Linked DNA regions of Astyanax mexicanus. The protein of the gene in region 2 purifies or fractionates together with the protein of the main gene of each other region. This does not show direct contact. Links are inferred from orthologs where the notes say so. Each region holds a gene or a part of one and is shown on either strand. Other genes may lie near its edges.

Region 1 (8,541 bases), on a different chromosome or scaffold from region 2:
CACACAATTACAAACAATTACAAATTTACATACAATAACAAATGTTGTTCTTTCCTAGACAGGCACGATACTTACATCAACTTATCCTACAATATATGGGCCTATTTTTACAATATGCTGCAGTGCCTAACATATTTATATTCTCACTCATATTATATAGATGTACTACACACAGAGTGAGCTATTTTAAGCGGTAATTTCTGTTATTGTTGATGATTATTATGGCTTACAGGCGTTGAAAACCCAAAAATCAGTATCTCAGAAAATTAGAATATTATATAAGATCAGTTGGTACTTTCTGCAGTGTGGGCAGTGTGCCAAGTCCTGCTGGAAAATGAAATTCGCATCTCCATAAAAGTTGTCAGTAGCAGAGGGAAGCATGAAGTGCTGTAAGATTTTTCGGGGAAAAACTGCACTGACTTTAGACTTGATAATAAAACACAGTGGATCAACACCAGCAGATGACATGTCTCTCCAAACCATCACTGATCATCAGTAAGTTTTACATTTCATTTGTAAATTAATGGAGCAGAGTCTGGAGGAAGAGTGGAGAGACACACAGTCCAAACTGCTTGAGGTCTAGTGTAAAGTTTCTACAATCAGTGATGGTTTGGAGAGACATGTCATCTGCTGGTGTTGATCCACTGTGTGGAGATGCAGATTTCATTTTCCAGCAGTACTTGGCACACTGCCCACACTGCCCAAAGAATCGATTTTCGGAGATACTGATTTTTTGGGGGGTTTTATTGGCTGTGAGCCATTATCGTCAACAATAAAAGAAAGATGCTTAAAATAGGTCACTCTGTGTGAAATGCATCTATGCAATACATGAGTTTACATTTTTAACTTTTTAATAATATAAAAATTTTAAATATAAACATTTTAAGATGCACCTGTATATGCTATATACTGTGGCCAAATTTGACAAATGACAAATATACCAATAGAAAAGCTCCAAAATGTTGTTCAACAAAGTCTTTTTACTTTTTATTTTGACTTCCACTGAAATGTTAAGATATTCTTTTTCCCATTTTTTGTATTATATATTTGCATATTTTTGGCGGTTTAAAATATGTACAATTCCTTGATTTTCAAACTTTTATATTTAATGCTTTTCACAAAGTCTCTGATAAAACCTGGTTATTTGATAGATTAATACTGTATGTTTTGAATACTTACAGTAATAATATTATGATTTTCTCACCTCGTGCTCTGTGATGTTGATGAGAAGCTCCTGCTGAAGAAACTGCTCCAGAATATACTTTGGTGCCATGTCCACCAAAGACTGCAAATATAAATACACAAACAACAGCATTCAGAGCAATATAATACTCTTCAGTTGACTTAAAAGACCGTAATAATTCTACAGATAAAATATACATTCTGAGAACTGTAATTGTTAAAAAGTTTAAATTGGGTGGAAGTGCGTATATTTCTACCTGTTTGGCAGATGGAGTCATGCCCATCTGGACTACAATAATGGCGCGGGTGATGTTCTCCTCCTGCATTCGCTGGCAGTACATCTTAATAGTCTTAATGCCCACTTTGGGCTCCTCTGTATAATAAAAAAATATATAACAAAAACACGATGAAGTATAAAGTGATTTAACTCACATATTCACCCTAATAATCCAATAAACACTACACAGCATGTTCTCCTGCACGGTGGTGCCAACAAGAATTCCAATATGTGATAAAGCAGCTCACCAGGAAAGAAGACGAACATCTGGTCGGTCGGATCGTCATTGTGAGCCACCAGCACTGTGAGATCTGTCCTCCTGGGTCGGCCCTCGCTCGGTTTGTCTCCAAACTGGCTTTTAAACTCATCCAGGGTCTGATCCAACTCATCCTGCGTCACCAAGTATCCTCGATCATGGCAAAGCTAAGAGAAACCAAGAATTAAAATATCAGGGTTAGAACATCAACAACATACACCTTCATTACTAGCACATTTTAAGGCAAAGCTTCATCATATACTACAGCATGCAAGAAAAAAGGGGTAAAAATTTAATTTTGTCATAATTATGACTTTTTTTATGACATTATTAAATATAGGCCTTAACTGTCTAAAAATAAACCTCATGCGCTCTTTTACTGTATTTTGTCTGTTGTTGTCTGAATATTGTACAATTTTATAATATTTTTCAGATTCACCAAGAAAAGTACAGAGTTCCTGAAGTATCAAAGTAAAAAAATTACTATTTAGAAACTTAAAAATGTATTCCTTCGAGGGAATTATATGCATGCTAAGAAATAAAGCTCAAGACCAGTTTTGCTGGAATCTGGTTTAAAACTATTTAATTTAGGCTGGTCTTTAATGGACAGTGTGTTTGAAAAACTTGTGAATCCAGGTAAAAACTTACCTAATGTTTGATTTTGGTCAAGCTTGATCATACTGGTTATCAAGATAACTAGCATGGTCAAGCTTGTAGACCAGCTAAACCACCAACCTCAAATAAATATATACCCTAAACTGATCAAAATCTCTATTCAAAATCTAAGCTGGCCTTATTTTTCCTACCTTAATGCATATTACAATTCTGTAGATATATACACTACTACTCAAAAGTTTGGACACACCTTCTAATTTATTTTTTTTCCCACATTGTAAATGAACACTAAAGTCATCCAGACTATTAAGAAACACATACGTAATTAAGTTGTAACTTAAAGTGTTAAACAAACCAAAATACTCTGTGAAGCATTTAGATGCTCTTATCTGGGGTTCTGTTAACTTGTCGATGCTGGTAACTCTGATGAACTTAACCTATGCAACAAAAGGAAAGTCTTGCTCTTACTTTAAAATATAAAACACTTAACAAAATAACACAATTTGTTTTTATTCATAGTTTGGATGACTATCTATCTATCTATCTATCTACCTATCTATATGTTAGATTATATAAAAAGAGGTGAAATAAGGTTAAATAAAGCTCTAATTTCAGCTCCGTCACACAGTAAAAACACGCTGATAATCAGCGCTGAGTTTAATCCCCGAGCCGAACCTGCATTATAGTCTTCCTGATCTTCCACAGGCGGTAGGTCTCCTCTTCATCATCCATCACCGCGATCTGAGACTAACAACCTCTTTATTAACCTTATTTACTCAATAATACACTGATATTTCTCCCGATCCACACACTACACACTACACACACACACACTCAGCTTCCGAACAATCACACCACGTGACCACCAGCCACAGAAGGACCCAAACACGGGCGTCCAGTTACTTTCCAGAGATATTTTGTCAGCTCGTGGATATAGTATTATTATTATTACCGTTAAAACACGAACTGCTGTGTTTAATAATATTAACTTTTCATTTTCGTATTTGTTGTATAATGATAACATTAGAACTGGAAAAGTAGAACTGAAAAATAGAAAGAACAAAACAGAACAAAATTTAAAATAACCCTTATAAAAAAAAGCAATGTTAAATAAAACAATTATATATTTTTTTTCTTTTCTTTTCTTTTTTTTGAGTAAAGCAGGTTAAATATAAAAATATAATTATTTATAAAATGAATAAATAAAAAATAAAACTACTCCGAGCCTACCCACTCCCTTTGCCCCGTTATCACTGCCTACCGCTAGAGGGCGGCCGCGAAGGAGTTTAAAATGAATGGGGTGAATGAAGCTAAATAGCTAAAACTCAATAAAAAAATTTTAACTAACTACTTGTCCAAGATAATCCTTTAATTTCGGAAAGTATATTAATGTATTTAGTTAAAATTGCAAATAAATAATAACTATATGTTTTAGTTTTTCTTCAGTAAACGGGTTTTAGGCAGTAAAGGCGCTAGCATTGCTGCTATTGTGGAAGCTCAACTGGAGTTACAGTTAGAACACGGAGTTTAGAAGTTTTACAAACGTTATAACATATATATTTAATAATAATATTAAAATTTAATAAAAATGTTTAATAAAATATTAAACATTTGATATTGTTCTGTGTTGAGAAATCTATTTTTTTTTGTATAAAAATGTATAAATTTGTTCAATTTCTTCTAATTATAACCTCTATTATAAACTCTATTCTCTGATTATAATATTAGAACCCAGCAGGCACTGTTACATGTTGTGACAGCCTGTTTCCTTACGACGTTGTCACAATGTCTTTAAATATATAAATGTGTCCAAATCTAATCTTGTGAGTGAGAGGTAATGTTATGTAACGTTGACTTTGTGGCAACATTGTAGATACAACATAAACAGTGCGACCTTTAGACATTATAACTACAATGTAAGAAAGTACACAACAGTTTAATGTGTTTTCTGGAAATCTGCATGAAGAATTGAGTACTGTATAGGCCTAGTGTATAATTAAGTACTTGAGTTTTCGGTGTGGCAGTGTCAACATATTTTTCTGACATGAAAATGTGCAGGGAAACGATGACTTGCTTTCTGCCAGTCTCTGGGGAGCTCCTGTTTGTTTTGTGCTGGGCACCCTGGTGGCAGAATAGTAGCAGAGGAGGTGAGGTTATGAAAGTTATGTCTGAAGAATGTAAGAAATGCGGTGGTAGGCCATAAACTAGTGCATCTCAAACAATTAGAATAGCATTAAAAAGCTACTTTATTTCAGTAATTTAGGTCAAAATGTGAAACTCATATAGATGTATTACATACAGAGTGATCTATTTTAAGCGTCTATTTCTTTTATTGTTGATGATTATGCCTTACAACCACTGCAAACCCAATAATCAGTATCCGAGAAAATTAGAAAATTATATTAGACCTGTTGGTTTTTTTGGCAGTGTGCCAAGTGCTGCTGGAAAATGAAATCTGCATCTCCACAAAAGTTGTCAGCAGAGGGAAACATAAAGTACTGTAAAATCGCCTGGTATAACCTGCACTGACTTTGGACTTGATATAACACAGTGGATCAACACCAGCAGATGACATGTCTCTCCAAACCATCACTGATTGTGGAAACTTCACACTAGACCTCAAGCAGCTTGGACTGTGTGTGTCTCCACTTTTCCTCCAGACTCTGGTCCATTGATTTCCAAATGAAATGCAAATTGTACTGATGGTCAGTGATGGTTTGGAGAGACATGTCGTCTGCTGGTGTTGATCCACTGTGTTTTATTATCAAGTCCAAAGTCATGCTTTCCTTTGCTAACAACTTTTGTGGAGATGCGGATTTCATTTTCCAACAGCATTTGGCACACTGCCCACACTGCCGAAAGTACCAACTGGTCTTGTATAATAATATATAGACCGTTTCAGAGGAATATTCATGAGCGCAGGAAGTGACGTAGCTGTTCCTAGGACACTTCCGTTTTGCGGTAAACACTGTTCAAAACAGTGGATGTAATTTAATTTAAACCTTGCCATACACTCTGTTCCACAGCCACAAGAACTGCTGCAACATGACTGCAAACTAAATAAATAAATAAATGTTAAAATAAATAAATAAATATATAAATAAATGCACATATAAATGAATAAATAAATAAATAAATAAATTAAAACATGCATAAATAATTGTATAGGTTAATAAATACATTTCTTATTTATATATTTATTTATTTATTTATTCATTTATACGTGCATTTATTTATTTCAACATTTATTTATTTATACATTTATTTATTTCAACATTCATGTATTTATTCATTTACTTATTTTAACATTTCCACATTTATTTATTGGTTTATTTCCACATTTCCACATATTTATTCATTTACCTATACCATACCTGTCAAGTCTCCCGTTTTGGCCGGGAAACTACCGTATTTTACTCCTCTTTCCCGCCGTCCTCCCGTATTAGTATTTTCCCGTAAATTTCCCGTATTATACTAAATAAAAAAATATATAGGCCACAGGCGACAATGCACTGACCGCTGTGTCTCTTAACCAATCGTGGTGCCGGTTCAAGGAGAAAGTCCCGCCTTTCAGGAGAAACAGCCAATCAGCTAGCTGGTTTTGCGGAGCGCAGTTTAGTATGCGGGAAGCCCCGCCCCTCCCCTCGCTGTGAGTTCAGGCAGCTAGTCGGAGCAGCTGTCGTTAAAACTAATCTGGATATACGGAGATTTTTCTAAAAGAAAGGTAATTAACCATGTAAACTATGATGAGATTGTTTCTGATAGCTGGTTAAAAAAGACTCTTCTCTGAATCAAAACATAAATTAAACCCACTGTGTGTTTAATAAAATACAGCTTGTGACTCAGTTAGCTTAACTTTAGAATTAGCTAGATAGATATTCAGGGTTTGAGAAAAATCTATATATATATATATATATATATATATATATATATATATATATATATAATGCCCTGCCCTGATGTGCCTGATCAGCCAATAACTATCATTTCCAAACTCTATTAGTTCAGGGCTAGTTTTAGGGTTTGTTAGAATTTGTTTAAATCTCAAGTATTGTGGTAATGTATTATAATGTAATGTAATGTATTATTTAGAAGGGGTAGAAGAGATGGTTGAGCTGGAGAGAGAGAAAATGTGGAGAGGGCTGAAATTAACTGAACTGATCAGGAGTGGACTGAACGATAGAAAGAAGTATTAATGAAAGATTATTAATTGTGTAGGCCCCTTAGGACTATTATTTACTTATGGAATATATCTGATCCATGTCCTTTTTGTAAATTTGTGCACCCTTCAATTTCAATTTAAAATCTATTAAATAAAATATATATATATATATATAAAAAAATAAATCGTCGAAGGAACAGACATGCGCAGTAGCTTTGTTATTGTTTTCCTCATTGAAACGGTCTATATATATTTTTTTTAAGAAACTGGTTTTTGAGTTATCATTGGCTGTTTTCTTCAAATACATAAAATTACTTAAAATAATTTATGCTTATGTGATTTTGTACTTTGCCCCCTTTAAAGAGATACCCCTCGCTGCAGAACCACAAGTCCAGGGGGTGGGGCTGGATCTGATCCAAGGGGTGGAGCCTGACCTCCTGACCACCCATATCTTCTTTTCATTGGTTTTAAGTCATCGCATTTCAATTCGTCGTTAAACTTAACACGTGTCGCTTACGTTTCCCGACCAGGACTTATTTTATCTTATCAAATAAATCCTGGAACCCAACCTTAAGACTTTTACCGTTTATAGATCAAAATGTTATTTGCTACGTAGCACATTTAAATCACACAATACAGATTTAAAAGAAGGAACATGTCTGTGATTACAAACATAATAAAATGCTGTACATTTCCTATATAAATATTAACTATTTCATTTTTTATCTTTAATAAAAAGGGCCTAAAGACAAAATAAAAAATAAATAATTAAAATAAAGGATGCCAATGAGTGTCTTATCTACCAGCTACCATGTTCATTTATTATTACAGATATTAATACACAATCAAAACGGCGAACAGAAGCAATCAGATTTTCAATTAAGTAAAATCACCCAACGAAACTAATTAATAGTATTAGCAAAATGAAAATGTGTCTATTATGAACTTACTTTCACGTTCGTGATTGTTTACTTGACTCCGAAAGGCGAGTGAGTAAAACCGGATGGGGAAGAGTCCGATCTGCTTCAGACCAATGAAAACACGACGTAGGAAGAGTTGGATCAGATCCAGCCCCACCCCCTGGACTTGTGGTTCTGCAGCGAGGGGTACTTGCCTTTAAAAGGAGGAGGTTATGGGTGGGCGGGGTTTCTGGGTTGTGTTATCAGAAATGATTGGCTTTTTAAGGAGTGAGGGGGCGTGGCTCCGCAGGTTGCTTGATCCGATCAAAATGCAGTTAGTCCGTCAGGCGCTGCTTCTGGGGCTGCTGGGTGGAAAAGGCTTCAGCAGAGCCATGGTAAGATCCGCGCTGCTGCTCTTCTGCTCCTGTAGCTGTTTATTACTGTATTACTGTGTATTTAACAACGGACGGGGACTGTGGTGATGACCTTGTGTGTGTGGTGTTTATTTTTAGAGCGCTTCCGCAGCTGCGCAGGTGTTTCTGTCAGGATAGCTTAGCTTAACTGGCTACGGTGGGAACGAGCATTGGCGTTAGCTTAGCAATTAGCTTAGCATTAGCTTTAGCTGGGTTTGGCCAGCAGAACTCACCTGGGACAGGACTGGCTGTGTTTTTGTAGCTAGCTAATGCTAATTGTATCTTTTTTTAGTGGTTATTATTCATATTTATAGGCTATATTGTATGTTTAATCTTGCGTTAGTTAGCTTAGCATTAAATATTGCTAGTTGTTTAGCTAAGCTGAATGTGTTAATATGTAACGGTAACGTTAGTAGCTTAGCTAACTAACCTAGTTAGCCTACTAACTGTCAGATTTTTATCTACTTTACTTTCCAAACATGTGGCCAATCCTTTTATCTAGCCTCATACAGTATATATAATTTAAAAATGCAGATTATTTTAGCTAGCTTGCTAGTTAAGATTACCATACTGGGCGTTTTCTGATGTAACGTTAATGACTAGTCAGGGAATAAAGGATCGCTGAGACATCAGGTTTCAAGATCAATGTGTGTTCATTAGAGATGTAACGGTACACAAAAATCACGGTTCGGTTTTCACCAGGAGTAAAGGCATAAAGTTATCCAAAAGCAGTGTGA
Region 2 (7,971 bases):
TTTTCCAACCATGCACCCAAAAACAATGACACATCATTTCATGTGCTAAAATAAGAAGTTTAAGCCAGAATACTACTGGCTTCTGAGAAGAGGAGGAAATTAATATTAATCAACTACAGCTCTGGAAAAAAGGAGACCACTTAAAAATGATGAGTCAATTTTACCAAACTAAAAACTGGAATATAATCAAGAGGAAGATAAATGATTACAAGCCTTCAAACCAAGCTGACCTTTTTAAAGCTTGGATTTTTGCACCGTGAGTGGCATAAAGTTATCCAAAAGCAGAGTGTAAGACTGGTAGAGGAGAACATGCCAAGATGCATGAAAACTGTGATTAAAACCAGGGTTATTCCACCAACTATTGATTTCTGAACTCTTAAAACTTTATAAATATGAACTTTTCTGAAATTCCCTTTGCATTATTTGAGGTCTGAAAGCTCTGCATCTTTTTTCTTATTTCAGCCATTTCTTATTTTCTGAAAATAAATGCTCTAATTGACAATATTTTAATTTGGAATTTGGGAGAAATGTTGTCCATAGTTTATAGAATAAAACAACAATTCATTTTACTCAAACATATACCTATAAATATCAAAATCAGAAAAACTGATTCCGAAACTGAAGTGATCCCTTAATTTTTTCCAGAGCTGTATATCATATTTTAACTCTCACTCTAACCATCATGAAGTAAAATGCTCAGTTAGCTCAGAAACACTGCCTTAACATTTAATCAAGTAATGTTGAAGCACAAAACTGCAGTCAAAGCATCTCACTATCTGACTTCTTATAGGTTTCATGAAGTTGCTGGACAATTATGAAAGGTCCACTGGTGTGGCTGAAAGAGTTACTTCTGAGGAAGTAGCAGAGAATAACGCTTTCCTGGATGCTGTTTTAGAGTCTGCAGTCATGAAGGTATATATAAACATCACTGTCTATTTGTATATGCAGTCATGGTGCTCAGCTGTGTTGAATGACTTTCTGATTACAGTCTAAAGTACCAGACAATGAAGCACTGTGTACGAATGCGTAATGAAGTCATAACATGCTGAGAACATTACTTTAGCGTAAGACTATATAACAACATTGTAAACCCTGCAGCTTTTGCAGCACATTACTGTGGTTGCTGTTCTTGGTAAGCCAATGTTTAGTAGATTCCAGTGGGAATGCTGTTTCGTTCTGTCACATTGTGTTCTTGGAAGCTGCAACGGGAAAGTAGAATTCTGTCCAAAGCAATGTGAAGTTTTGTTCTGACTGCAGTGAATAACACTAACATCTGTTTAATTAGTTTAGGACATGATTGTTTTTTTTTTTTCTTCTTTCTGTTTTTCAGCGTGCTCATCAGTATTTAGTGAATAAAGGCAAATCTCAGTCTAATCTGAGGCAGTTTAAGAGTCAGCTGTACTACATGTGGTTTCGTCTTTATCACAGAGATAGAAACGGAGGGTAAGTTTCTCTCATATGTACGCGAGTATCCTTGATATTTTGTGGTTTAAAACAAGAGTCAAAAATGTGTACAGTCTTATGCAAAACTTTGACTGCCTCTGTTCAATGATATGTAATTTATAATTTCAGGTGAAAATAATGTAACATTTTTATGGAGAACACGTATAAGCACTTTTTAATACATATTCAATGTGTGTGCTGAATTAAAAATATATATATATGTTTAAAAATATATAGAACACTTTCATATCAAAGTTCACAAATAATTATGTTTTCACTATAATTTTGGATATACAATATGGAGCATTTTCTGTATATATTCTGTATGTTCAAATGTTTGTATGGTCCAAGTGCATTCAACAACTTTAAGTTGCACCCACTGCTGACAGATGATGTGCAAATGCACACACACACACACACACACACACACACAGCTTGTCTAGTTTCTAGTCTCTTGTGTAGCCCCCTCACAGCAATGCTCCAAAATCTAATAGAAAGTCTCCTCCTGACAGTAGAGACAGTTACTCCAACATGACATGTTTTTTTCTTTTACTTTTCTCTCTATCTTACTAGGGAGGACTCCAGTGGATTTGAGCATGTGTTCGTTGGTGAGACCAAGTTTGGAAAAGAAATTATGGGCCTTCACAACTGGGTCCAGTTTTATCTTCAGGAAAAGCAGAATCTTCTTGATTACAAGGGATACAAAGCCAGGAGTAACGATGTGGTATTGTCCCCCACACTAACATACATGCATAGAGTGCATTTACATACACATTCTAAATCAGATTACTGCAGTTAACTGATTAATTGTATATAAACGCCATACTTCTGTTTCTTACATTAGCGTAAGGTCTAAAAATCTGAATAAAAATGTGCAGGAGGATCTAATTTCCTTAGATCTATCATAGATTATATTCTAGTTTAACTGCATATTTAAAAAGTCACTTTTTTGCTTAGTTCCTATTCATCTCCACTGAAAAATGTCTCTGTTTCTGTCCCATTTTAGCCGGACGAGGATGACCACGTGTTAAATGTGCAGTTCAGCTGGCATGGTCTGGTCAAGCCTGTAGGCAGTACTTTCTTGGGTGTGAGTCCAGAGTTTGAGATGGCTGTTTTCAGCATACTCTTCCTCACTTCTACTGAGAAGACTACCACTGCTGTGGTTAACCTGGACGAGTACCAGCTGGAGCTGGTTGTTCACAGACACGGACGCTCCATTGGGACATCTTATCCCAAACTACTGAGCAGCAACAACCGACACTTATAGAGCAGATAGTGCAGTTCTGTTTTACTCATAGCTTTGTCTGTTCTTTTGCAGCTTACACTGTTTTAAATTAGCAACCATAATTAGAAGATGTGCAGCCTCTCAGTATTGTGAATAACATGTTTCTGTAGAAATCAGTACAGAACTGAGCTGCTGAGATGTTTATTCTTATATCTAAAATGCCCTTTTAACTTTTTACAAGAAATCTTTAGAAATGCTTTACTTTTTGTTTTAACTGTTTTTTTTTAAACCAAGAGTGATCTCATAACGAGTTACTTTTTACTAATGTACTTGTCTTAATGCAAATAAAGCTTTTTGACTTTGTTAATGAAGTTGCGTTTTTTTGTCTTTGTTTAGTTTACAGGTTCAGGACAACAGTATTTAGAATTTCACCTTTTATTTTTGACTGATGATGTAAATAACATTGATAACTTTTTCTATACCATCACTACCTGGTTCAAGTGGCACCTGTCTAGGGGTGGGATATACATATTAAGCACTAAGTGAACAGTCAGTTTCTGAAGTTGATTGTAGGAATCTCTGGCCAGATTGTAATGGCAAAATGACTGACTAAGTTTAGAGCATCTCCAAAACATTGGGCAGGTCTGCCACTACCTACCAAAAATGCTTTAAGGAAGGATATGTGGGAAACTGGTGAAAGGGCCAAGGGCACCTTGGTGCAATAATGCAATCCATGAAGGCCCCATCTTACAACTTACAGCATTTAACAGATTCTGTCCCTTGATGGGACGAGCTGTTTTGGCAGAATAAAGGGGTTTTAATGTTAAGGCAGTATAATCTATGAATAAAGTGGTTCAGTGGACTATAATCTGATTTTCAGTGATTTAAAATCATGTGTCATGGTGCTTGCTGTCAGCAGCCAGAGTCAGAGAGAGCACAATTACTCTCATTGGGTGGGCAGATGGCCGCTCTCACTACAAAGTAGTGATGGGCAGATGAAGCCTCATGGGGTGTATGGCACATTTCCCAAACTGTATCGACACTGTGTTGAAACTGTGTTGCTGTATCACTTAATGGCGACATCTGCTGGACTAAGAAAGTCATTGCAAGCAACTGCGCGAGGAAATGCATCGGTCACGTGGTTTTCCTTAAAATGATACGCGGTCCGACACAGGGGTTCGCCTTGTTTGCTCGGTGCATGCGCTGAAGTTTCAGTGTCGTCAGACCCATCACTACTACAAAGCTCCCAATGTAATGTTGGTCAGCACAACCATCTGCTAGCTGATGTATCAGAGCTAAGCACCCTGGCTTCCCAGTGGCATTCAGTCAAAAGTTTGGACACACTTTCTTATTCAGTGTTTTTATTTTTTTTTATTTTTTCCCCTACATTGTAAATGAATACTAAAGTAATCCATACTATAAAGGAACACTTAAGAAATCATGTAGTAACTTAAAAGTGTTAAACAAACCAAAACAGGTGGCTTTATCTCATCTGTTAACTTGTGGATTCTGATTCTGGTAAATCTGATGAATTTAACCTGGGCAACAGATGTAACTCTTGCTCTTTCTTCCTATCTCTACCTCTTTGCAACTTTACAACTGATGCTCTCAAACAGTAAGAAGACAAGAAATTCAAGTAATTAACTCTTGACGAGGCACAGCTATAAACTGAAAGCTATTCCAGGTGGCTCTACCTCATAAAGCTGGCTGAGAAAATCCAGCCAAGGTGTGCAAAGCTTTGAGGTGCCTCTGGTAATATTTATTACCGTTTTATGGTATATATGGTATATATACAGCACAGTATTGTTAAATCTCACTGTAAATTTCAGTATTTTCTATAATAGAGCACATGCGGAACCATTCCTCCGTGTCCTGTGTTTTGATTTAGGCCGGCAGCGTTTCAGTGTTACGCTACACACTCACATGTATGTGGAGCTGTAGCTCAGGTCCTGCTGCTGGACTAAGGTCGTGTCGTGTAGTGTAAATGTGTGAAGCGCGTTCAGAGTGATGGACCTGCTGAGGGAGGATTTTGGGGAGCTGTCAGCCCAGCAGCTCGCGGCTCCTGTCAGCACAGTGGAGGTAAAGCAGCTTCAACACAGCAGCAGCAGCAGCACCATGCTCCAGCTCTCTGTGCTAAGCTAAGCTAACAGCAGCAGATTAAGCTAGTAGCTGCACTGCTGACATGGGCGTTAGTTGGCTAACCTACTTAATTAACTACATAAGTGTTTGAACAGCTACAGCTTTATTAAACGTGTTTACAGTGGTATGATGTATAAAACATGTTAAGACAGTTGTCCTGTGTTTGTCTTTATAGGAAAAATGGAAACTTCTCCCTGCCTTTCTGAAGGTAAACACTTAACTTTTAATGTCCCCACAGTTAAAATGCACTTTAACAGCAAGTTAACAGTATTATGGGCCTTCATACAATAAAACGGTGGTCTGTTTGCTTCGTTTTACTTCTCCGGCAGCACAAATATTTATTCCTTTTTTGTTTTTATAGGTTAAAGGTTTAGTTAAGCAGCACATTGACTCCTTTAACTACTTCATCAACGTGGAGGTAAGCTGACTGAGATGGGAATATGATTCTGTTTATTTCTATTGAGTCTCTTAAGAAAGTGTGAAGAGCACTGATTTCTGTTTAAGACTTATGATGTCTTGTGATCTTTTCAGATAAAGAAAATCATGAAGGCCAATGAGAAGGTTACAAGTGATGCTGATCCAATGTGGTACCTAAAGTATGACCCCCTCCTCTGTTGTATATTTATACATTTTTATACATATTTACAGTACCCTCAAACGTGTGGACACATTCTCATTAATGTTTTTTTTTATTAGTATTGTTACTACATTGTTGATTAATATTAAAGGTCACCTTCCGTCGTTTTTTCTTTCATTTTAAAATGTCTAGTTGTGGTCTCTAGTATGAATGAATGACATGTGAGCCGTTTTTGTAAAAAAAAAGTGCTCAGGTGTCTCTGTATAGCTCTTTTTTAATGGACTGTTTTAGGGGTGTGTCCAAAATGACCGGATTCCAGCTTTGCTCATGAATATTCATACATGCAAACAGCATGCAAATATCTCTCCTCTGATTGGCTAGGAGCACTGCGACGCCCCTCCACCGCTCTGCCGCTCACTGCCTCCCACCTCCTAACTGATGAGCGGTGATGTTGCGTCGCTTCAGCTCCGCCTCTGGGAGTTTCTCGAGCCAAGGTTGGCTGGTCTGTGAGTTTCTGCCTACGTAGGCAGAAAGATAATTCAAAATTCACCCGTTTTTCGGAGGGGGGGAGGGGGGATTTCTTTGCTTAGCTCCTGCAGACAATGGGGGCTGCAAAACAGTTTAATGTGCAGGTGTACACATTCAACTCGGAGAGACCTACTGTATTCCACAAAAAACAAGAAAAATCGGATTTTCGCGGAAGGTGACCTTTAAATACTTAAGTACTATAAAGAAACAAATACATTTAAGTAGAATCACAAACATGTGACATAAAACACAAACCTGGTGCTTTGGGACGAGTTGGAGCACAGAGTAAAGGAAAAGCAGTTAACAAGAGCTTAGCACCTTTAGAAGACAGTTTGCGAACCATTCCAGGTTCTACCGCATGAGGCTGACCAAGAGAATAATGCCAAGAGTGGGCAAAGTTGGCATTAAATCAAGGAACCTAACGTGTAAAACATGTTTTGGCTCGTTTAACGCTTTTTTTGGTTTAGCTTATGATTGCACATGTGTTTATTCATAGTTTTGATGCCTTCATTATTAATCTACAATGTTGAAAAGAATTAAAAAAGCAATATGAAGCTGATTGTATTATTCTTTATGCATCCTGACTTTCTTTAATTGTTTTAGAATAATTCCTTCACTGTCTATAATACATTTACAGGTACCTTAATATCTATGTTGGCATGCCTGATGTAGAAGAGAGCTTTAATGTAACCAGACCTGTGTCTCCACATGAGGTAATCCATTAATATTTGTGAACTATTTGTCTGCAGTTCTGCTATAAATGCAAAGTTGGTGTTGAGGGTACAAACCCTATCTTCTAGGTGGCACACAAGTGTTTAATTACACAGACAAGGCATAAGGTGTTAAGGCATTTTCACATTTGCACATTATAGTCCAGTTAAATCAGGCTAATTTTTGTTTTCACCCATGGTGTGATTTGTTTTGGTTGGTGGGTGTAAATAGAGCATTTAAATAGCTGATGTCGAACCACGCAACCACACAGTGACCCAAACTGTCTTTGGAGCAAATGTATGCTTGTCGGGAACACAGGACCTTTTTTCTCTTATATATTTCTTGCTCCACCCCAGACAAGTCTGACTAATAAGCAAAGAGAGCCTTCTCACATGGTTTTTAGAGAAGCAGAGTGCACTTGGGTTTTTTTCTGTGTAAAATCAAACCTTACCAATAGAAAAATTGCGAATCTTCAAATTGAGCAAAAAAAAAACTAAACATGTGAAAATGCCCTATTGTGTCCTTGACCAAGACTTCATGATACATTTGCCTTCCTGTGTGGCATTATTCAAATACAAGATGCTCTGAATAAAACAATACTGATAATAATGTGTTCCCACTTTATCTTTCCCTTCCAGTGTCGTCTGAGAGATATGACCTATTCCGCTCCCATTACAGTGGACATAGAGTACACCAGAGGCAGCCAGAGGATCATCCGTAATGCACTTCCCATTGGAAGGTAATTATGTTGTTCTTTTTAAATCCAGCATCCACCAAACTGAAGACACAGACCTGTTTTCTGTATCTTCAAGAAGACCAAACATAATTTATTAGGCCTGACTATAGACATTTAATGTTTTACTTCCTTGTTAATTCATCATAAATAAATAGTAATCTACCTTCTTAACTCATGGGTAGAAACGCTGTTTACATCACTAACACATCACCAGGCTCTGTAAAAAGTGTTAATTATGAGAGAAAATTTGTGGCCAAACTTTGCATTGACAGCACTACTTATGATTGACAGCACTAGTCATAACTCATGCATTGTGGGTTTGTTTTTTTTTTTTTTCATTCAGAATGCCAATTATGTTGCGGAGCTCCAACTGTGTTTTGACAGGCAAGACACCTATGGAGTTTTCTAAACTCAATGAATGTCCCCTAGATCCAGGTATGTTCTCTCACATGGATATGTTTCAGGGCTATTGTTTTATTATTTGATTAATTGCTGTTAATTAACATTTTATGTTTGTGTGCAGGTGGTTATTTCATTGTAAAGGGTCAGGAGAAGGTCATTCTTATCCAAGAACAGCTTTCCAAGAACCGCATTATTGTAGAGCAAGATCGC
Region 3 (7,957 bases), about 480 kb from region 2:
CTTACCATTATATCATAAGATAGCTTATCGGGTAAAGTGACAAGGCGCTCTTGCAAGCTTTCATAGTCTTTCTCCACTTTTTTCCTGGTAGACAAGGGAATAAATAGTCATGAGGTTTGCAATAAAGTCTGGAAGAGAAGAAATATAGACATTCCGACTGTCCCCCACACACCATTTTCTCAAAAATTTCACCATTGGCAATTCCAACTTGTTAGATAAGTATCTCACATTACTCATAATGCAAACAGCACTGGGTGAAAGTTAGAACGTGCTTTAGACAGTTAAATGCGGTTGCAGAAGAACACAAAAAGAAGACCTATCTGCAAGTTAACAGACATCCTTACTGACTAGCTTCAAGCCGAATGTTGAGGGTGGGCCATCCCATCCTCCCAGAGAGAGCACAATTTCCATTTGGAACCATTCAACTCACATACTAAAATTATAATGCCAAAACACTAAACATCTGTACAATGGATCTTATTTGTATACAGTAAACTTTATATATATATTTTTAAATAGCAGTAATTACCTTAACAAGTTGCAAAACAAGAAAATAGACTAACATTTTATGAATCTTCAGTAGGACCACTCACCAATGTGTTATCTGTCCTTTGCAGTCTTTCACCACCTGTTCATAGGAGTCATTTTAGAACATTGCAGAATAATGGACACAATGAAACATATAAAACAAACAATTTCCAACAATAAATCCTTTCCTAAACTAAATATATGGTTCCCTCAAATTAGTAAATTGTTTTCTAAATGCAACTAAAGCATCCACTCTAAACAAAAACAACATTGTGCTAAATCAAGAGAAAGGTCTGTTTATGCCTGCTTCTTTCTGGCAAAACACAGTATATAGAGTATTGTGCAAAAGTTTTAATTAGTGGGAATTACAGTATGAAAAGGCTTCTAATCTGGGCAGTAAGTATTTATTAGCTCAGTAAAAGGCTAGTATTACAATAAATACAAACAACAGGTTTATAGTGTTCATTCAGACATTTTCAGTAAATTTCCTTGTGTAAGTCTAGCCTTATTTATAGTCATAATCAAATCAACACCTGGTTTGGCAAATCAGAGCTTAATGATGTTATTTTAAGTGGACTGCTGATGGAAATTAACACATGCACATGCTGACTGAGGGCATCCACTAGAAATCTGGAACTAAACATTGTTCTTCAGACTAGCTCACAGGATATAATCTAGGATATTCTTGCTACTTTTGATTGCATTTATGATTTTTAAGATAAAATGAACTTGAGTACTCTTTATGAGCCTAAAACAAAACTGTGTGTGTATTACAAACCTTGATCATTTAGGGGCTCTGCGCTAAATACACCTGTAAAGAATACTTACCACTGAAACATACTGGGTCATTTTATTATGAGGATCAAGTATTAATTACAGATTTAGCTAAAATCTATTCAAAAACATACTTTTTAAAATGTTTCTTCTTTGAGGAGAGACAATATTTCAGTGTGTTCTTTTCACTTCAGAATTCATACATTCAAATGAATGTCCATACATCTCAAATAAGCAAATGTGTTTAACATCCTTATATGCCTTTTATTAACTGGCTCTTGAATCTAAATATTTTTTTTTTCATGGCAAAAATAGTTTTGTAAAGTTTTGTAAGTAGAAAGCATCACTACTAGGTAGTTAGCTAGATGGCCATTTTATGTGCCTGCTAAATTGACTTTACTAAGAATAGTTTTAACCCTTGCTAAATGCAAAATTATTTTAGACACATTACTGTTAAATTATTGAGAGTAATGACATATTATTTAGTAGGGGTAGAACAGTTAATGATAACTAACCTTAGCAAATTTAGGCAGCAAATTTAATAGCTTACCTAGATAGGTCTGCCATGTAGCAGGGTTGTAAAAAAATCAGGATTTTATTGAGAATTAGCTCTAAATTCCATTCAATTCTTGAATTGAGGTTGCAAACAGAAAGCAGAATTGCAATTCAGATTTGAATTAGATGAAATAGAACTGGATCGCACAGATTTTAATTATACACAATTAAGGTGTATTTAACATTGAATCTTTACAGTATATGTTACATATGATTACAACATTAATTTAATACAGATATTATTGAATGGATTACAAATTAACATTAAATACATAGTCTATAAAACCAATCATTGCAACTGTAGCTAATAACTTACAAATTAGGATATTTAGGAAATCTGAGGAACTGTTGACTATTAGATGAAACAACATTAGCCATCCTGTAAAGTACACAGTTTCATTTGATTAGTTTGAAATTAATATATTTTATATTAATTATGTAACATTAATGGAATGGATGCTTAAATGTTAGTGTCTGAAAATCCATCTGAAAGAAAATTTTGCTTTATGTTAAAAGTATCACACTCTCATTCATATGTAATGAGAATGAATTGTTCCACTTCTTGCAACTCAAACTCAAATTCAATTTAACATCCTGTAAGGTGGACTCAGTTTATTTTCATTTTCTGAACTAATTTAGATTATAAAACTCTGGATTTTGCACAGCCCTTATATTAATTTAACTGAACCCCAGCTGCCATGCAACACGTGACTGACCCTTTCTAGAAAGCACTAAGGTTACAACACACGGCAGCGAGTCAACTACGGTGTTTTACTTCATTAAACTTCACTATTAGCTAAAAACAGACAAACAGCTGCGGCTGAAGCTAATGAAAGCAAAGTTAGATGTGTGGAATTAACACACAGTAATGTGAACAGTGTAAACAGGATGTTTGCCGAGCTGCAAACAAACACAAACCGAAAGCGTCCACAGACAAGCCAAACCCCCTTTCTTTACCTTTCTGTGCTCCTCTTTCAGCCTCTCTACACCCTGCGGAAGATCATAATTTGCGTTCATATTTCCAGCCATTGCGTCCCGTGGGCCTCCTGTATCTCACACAAGCACAGATTGATTGGGTATATCCACCACCACCACCACCACCTCCTCCACCACACTCAGGGGTTTGAAGTCCTATAGAAATGTTTATGAATGCCAGTGAACGTATTCCTCAGCCCTGGTGTCCTTTTAGTCATCAATGAGGCGATAGAAACGGTCCAAATCGAGATTGAGACCATTTCACACTCGCATCGCACAAAATCTTCCTCTTCCAAAATTATTCCTCTGCTTATGTGCGTGCAATCCCCTCAGCAATGTCCGTCCGTCTGCGCCATGTTCGTCCCCCAACAAAAACACAGCGAAGACACGTGACCCGCCGCGCACCCGATTTGTAGAGGCAAGGCTCGGTCTGCGCATGTCTAAAGAGAACAGCGATCTACAAGTCAAACACATGCCCAGTTTAACACGATGTTTTATTTGAAAATCAAGGATTTCTTTTCTTTTTTCTTTTATTTAAAAAACAATACACTCTTCACACAACTGTAACATTCCCACTATGACTGGAGTGAGCTATTACATGAATACATATGTATACACAAAATACATCTGTGTATAAATTAAGAAATGTTTATGTTAAATAATAATAACGTTAAATAATCCATATGTCTATAGTTTAATAAAATATTTTTATATATATTTCTAAGTAAATAGAACATAAAAAACTATGATTTGGGCAAGGATTGTGAATTAAAGTTTGAACTTAAATAAGCAAACAAGCGTTTAAAGTCCGTATATGTCCTTAAAAACTGTCTCTTGAATAAATGTATAAATCTAATTTATTTTTTACGCCTTCTGTTTTGGAACAAAGCATGTGAAGACAGAAACTCTAAGTCACCACAATAACCTTTCATAATAATGTACTTAAGAACATAATTTAAAAAGCCAAAAATACCCCCATAAAATCAAATCTACATAAAAATAATGATATACTTATGCAAGTGCTATGCAAAATATAATGTGTGTGCTGTTTATTACAGAGATGTTCACAAGTATGTGAACTTTTATTTTGAAAAATCATGTTCCGGATCCCATGAACATGCTAGACCTTGTGAGGGGCGAGTAGGGAATCGTGAAGGTAAGTAGTAGGTTTTGATCGGTTTAAGTACTGCTGAAATTTCAGTGGTCAGACACTGTGTATGAAACAGCACAGCCACGGTTTTGTGCTCTGGTGCGATGCAGGGTTATAGAGGTAGATGTTGCACACCAGCATTGTTCTGTAGTTATTTGTTAATGATAAAAGCTTGCTTGCATTTTTTTATTCACAGGTGAAACAGAGCTGCACTCCTGACCACTGAGATGCTGGTCATAAACAGACATTTGAGGACATTGCTGCCCTGTGTCTTGAGATTTCAGGCAGCAACCAATGATGTTATGATCTTCCCCAGGACTTCCTCCCCATGTCCACTAACATGCCCTGCACTTGTACGCAGACACACCACGAACGAAAAAGCGCGCTCATACCTTCAGTACCTCAAAAGAAAAGTCATAGCCCCACCAAAACCTCCATACAGCCACGTGTGTCAGGTGGGCGACCCTGTGCTGCGCTCCAAGGCTGCAGCAGTGGAGCCCAGCGCTATTGGAGGAGCAGAGGTGCAGCAAGTGATTAAAACCTTGGTGAAGGTCATGCGCAGGCTGGAGTGTGTGGGACTTAGTGCACCCCAGATTGGTGTACCTCTCCAGATCATAGCTCTGGAGTATCCAGAGAAGATGCTGGAGGACAGCCTACCTGCTTCCATCAAGGCCCGTGGCCTGGTCCCAGTTCCCTTAAAGATATTTATTAATCCACAGCTGCGCATCTTAGATGGAGAGATGGTCACCTTCCAGGAAGGCTGTGAAAGCATATCAGGGTTCTCTGCCTCTGTTCCACGATATATTTCTGTGCAGGTCACAGGTAACAACCTTATAATCTTATAGTCTTATAATGTATAGCTTGTGAAGAGTGTATCTATCGTGATAACCATCTATAAACATTTCTTTCCAAAGGACTAAATGAAAAAGCAGAGTCGGTAACCTGGCAAGCAACTGGATGGCCTGCAAGGATACTGCAGCATGAGATGGATCACCTCGGTGGAGTTCTTTACGTTGACCGCATGGACAGTAAAACTTTCATTAATGTGAACTGGGAACAATACAATGAATAGCAGATCTGCTGATTAAAAGTTGGGAGTACACTTGTCTGGAAGCTGCTTTAAGTGACTTATTTCTGATAAAAATGGTCTATATTCATTTAATCACATAAAATATAAATTACATAATACAGTTGCTTTGTGTAATATTTTGGCTAATTTATACAACATTTAACAGAACTTTTAAGAACTATTAATGGTTACATGTGTAAAAAGCCAATGGTTAATGGTATAAATACGATATTGGCTATTTTGAGGACATCCAGTTATATGTTTTGTATACTGTATTTTTTTGTTAAACCTTTATAGCAATGTAAGGCTGTCCGGTAAATGAACTAGTTTCCTGCAAGTGTTAAAAAAACATGTGATAGTGGTTCAACTAGTTTTAAACTGGTCTTAAAACACTCAGCAGTAAATGATGAAAGTAAGATGTGTTAGTATTTGCAATCTACCTGCCTAGAACTTGGTGAAGAAAAAAAGCAAATACTTCTGAACTGTAAATTCTAATGGGTTATCACACACGACAAACATAATATTCCATATCACCTATTTTATTTATTTTAATATTTTTAGTAGCAGCAACAGTTGTGCATTAACCAAAGAGCAGACACCTCATTTTGCAAAAAAGGGTGAAAACAAAATATTATAAAAAGAAAAAAAAAAAGCAATCTGGACAACATTTATATAGGCACTTATATATATGGGCTTATTAAAGAAAAGAAAATCTGTTGACTGTGTGTCAGTAGTCTGATGTCACAACATTCACAACTCGTATAACACAATAGACATCAATGGTAATTTTGTGCTCTTGTTATTCAGTTTTCTATTTGTAGTGATGTTTTTTTTAATAATTATTTGGCAGTAGCAATAGAGTACAAATAATAGGTGTTTTAAATATGACAAAGTGCATTTAATCAGATCATTGGTGTCATGCAAAACCCTTGTACTTACAAAACAGCAACATTACAGGAGACAAAAAATCCTTAACCTTCAATTGAAGTTAATATAAAAAGCATTATATTGGTCCCTTAATCGTGTAATTTTGGCACAAAATGAAAACAACTGCCAGATTAAAAAATGAAACATGGCAAAAAATAGAGATCCAATGTTTTGACGTGACAGCAAAGAAAGTAAACTATAACTGTAACAACATATTTAAACAGCGGAGTGTTCAAATGGCATACCACACTTGCATTCCAAGGGATTCTTAAACCAACATTTTTTGCAATACTGGGCACAGCAGTACTTGCACAGTGTGTGAATTTTATGATATGAACATACAGCGCAAAATGCTTTTAGCCTCTCCATTTCATGTTTTCCCGAGCACTGCATATCACAGGAAATGGAGTGGAAGACTCTGCAAGTAACGCAAACAAAGATGGGCGGTTCTGAGGTACAGCACTCGTGGAAAGTTATGGGCCTAGAAGGTGTGCGCACTTCTTCTTTGCTCACTACCTCCAAATATCCCATCGAATGACCAGATTCTCTGCACCTCTCTACTTCCTTGCACAGGCAGTCATGCACTTTCTCACAGGTATGGCACACTATGTGAGGTTGATCTTCTGCCCTGAGGCATGTGTGCCTCCGTGGTGGGGCAGCCCCATCCCTCTCTTCCTGAGGTGGCTGTACTTTTCCTGTTTTTTGAAGGGTATGTTCCATAAGTTGACAGTACCTCAGACCATCACACTGAAAATCATGGATATTTTGGCAGTTGTGGCACACAAGGAAGACATCAGAGGTGGAACTCTGCATACAGCTATGCATCTTCAGGTTACCTTTGGGGGCTTTTTCCCAGTTTTGTGTGGGTTGTGGTTGCACATCCATTCCGTGTTGCTGTACCTTCCTTAAATCATGCCCTTGTTCACTGCATCTGTTCAACCACTGACATTCCAAGTTATGAATTTGCTTACATTGGACACAATAATAGGCATAATTGTCATACGACTCAAAGCACCTGCATATCTGTGGATCCACTTTTGAAACCTTGACCTGTGCACCACCTGTTAGTGTGGGAACTTGCTTTTCATTGTCATTCTCAGTTTTCAGTGGCTTTGGACTCAACTCTGTCTTCTGCGGAGGACTAATCTGGCAAGTCATCTTTGAGACACAGACAGGCTGTGTCTTACTAGTGTTTTCATCAATCTCTTTCTTTGACTGAGTAGTAGCCCTGAGTGACAGTGGTGTCCCTTTGGGTGGAGTGTAATGACTGTTGGGTGGTGCAGTCATGTGATTAGTCTTCGGCCATTCTCCAGGATCCTGATGGTCATCTGTGTATAAATCGAGCTCTGCGGAGGTATCATGCTCCGAGCTCTGTGGAGCAAGCTGCAGCTTTCTCTTTGCACTCTCCAGTGCAACTTGCAGGCTGTGGCCAAGCTTTCTTTCCCGAATGAGTTGTAGTTCCCATTTCACACCACTACCCAAAGGAACCACAGTGCCGAGCAGCTGACACTCCATGCGAGCAGTGAAGAAAGCACAAGCCAGCTGAAGAAGAGAGTCTGCGTGAACTGGTTTAGAACTTAGCCTCAGCTCCTCCTCTTCAGTGGTGTCTGCAGGCTGGTATCCTAATAATCTGAAGAGTTCTTCAGCTTGCTGTAATGTCAGAGCAGGTTTGACATAGTGGGTGAACATACCTGAAAACATCTGAAGAGAAGGAAATAAGTTACTTTGTGTAATGCAGTTAAATTATGTGCAGACTTAAATATAACAGATACGAAATATTTAAAATAACACTTTGACTTAGTAGTAAAAATAGAGGTTTAATGCCAAGACAGCTCATAGGTTATTTTCCTGGCAGGATTAGTTATTGTTGTGAAACTTGAAAAGATTACCAACTTAAAGCCCTTCTCCGTTTACCCCCAGCATTCGGAAATATAGCCAATGCTCCCAAAAGGCTTACAATGCTATCTTTAGGGGAATTG

Evidence for each region. Proteins that work in one complex are often made in the same cells at the same time.
Region 1: the proteins of polr3b (region 2) and polr2ea purify together in Homo sapiens (affinity purification with mass spectrometry; 7 studies listed by BioGRID and IntAct, counting the BioPlex papers as one, with this or other methods). This does not show direct contact. The link is inferred for Astyanax mexicanus from reciprocal best matches to the Homo sapiens genes POLR3B and POLR2E.
Region 3: the proteins of polr3b (region 2) and uri1 purify together in Homo sapiens (affinity purification with mass spectrometry; 4 studies listed by BioGRID and IntAct, with this or other methods). This does not show direct contact. The link is inferred for Astyanax mexicanus from reciprocal best matches to the Homo sapiens genes POLR3B and URI1.

What each region holds. Positions count from the first base shown.
Region 1 is NC_064411.1:48,867,981-48,876,521, reverse strand, and holds the start of polr2ea (DNA-directed RNA polymerases I, II, and III subunit RPABC1), read right to left. Parts: upstream 3,224-8,541; 5' UTR 3,063-3,223; coding exon 3,006-3,062; intron 1,883-3,005; coding exon 1,708-1,882; intron 1,556-1,707; coding exon 1,440-1,555; intron 1,286-1,439; coding exon 1,205-1,285; intron 1-1,204. UniProt on the Homo sapiens protein: DNA-dependent RNA polymerase catalyzes the transcription of DNA into RNA using the four ribonucleoside triphosphates as substrates.
Region 2 is NC_064416.1:20,872,802-20,880,772, reverse strand, and holds the start of polr3b (DNA-directed RNA polymerase III subunit RPC2), read left to right. Parts: upstream 1-4,561; 5' UTR 4,562-4,675; coding exon 4,676-4,747; intron 4,748-4,982; coding exon 4,983-5,015; intron 5,016-5,168; coding exon 5,169-5,225; intron 5,226-5,338; coding exon 5,339-5,403; intron 5,404-6,549; coding exon 6,550-6,625; intron 6,626-7,261; coding exon 7,262-7,362; intron 7,363-7,702; coding exon 7,703-7,794; intron 7,795-7,882; coding exon 7,883-7,971. Other genes in the region: endouc (uridylate-specific endoribonuclease C), read left to right, coding at 791-912, 1,331-1,443, 2,017-2,167, 2,450-2,710. UniProt on the Homo sapiens protein: Catalytic core component of RNA polymerase III (Pol III), a DNA-dependent RNA polymerase which synthesizes small non-coding RNAs using the four ribonucleoside triphosphates as substrates.
Region 3 is NC_064416.1:20,396,128-20,404,084, reverse strand, and holds the start of uri1 (unconventional prefoldin RPB5 interactor 1), read right to left. Parts: upstream 3,224-7,957; 5' UTR 2,887-3,223; coding exon 2,815-2,886; intron 629-2,814; coding exon 594-628; intron 85-593; coding exon 6-84; intron 1-5. Other genes in the region: pdf (peptide deformylase, mitochondrial), read left to right, coding at 4,210-4,804, 4,897-5,054; spata2l (spermatogenesis associated 2-like), read right to left, coding at 6,195-7,679. UniProt on the Homo sapiens protein: Involved in gene transcription regulation. Acts as a transcriptional repressor in concert with the corepressor UXT to regulate androgen receptor (AR) transcription.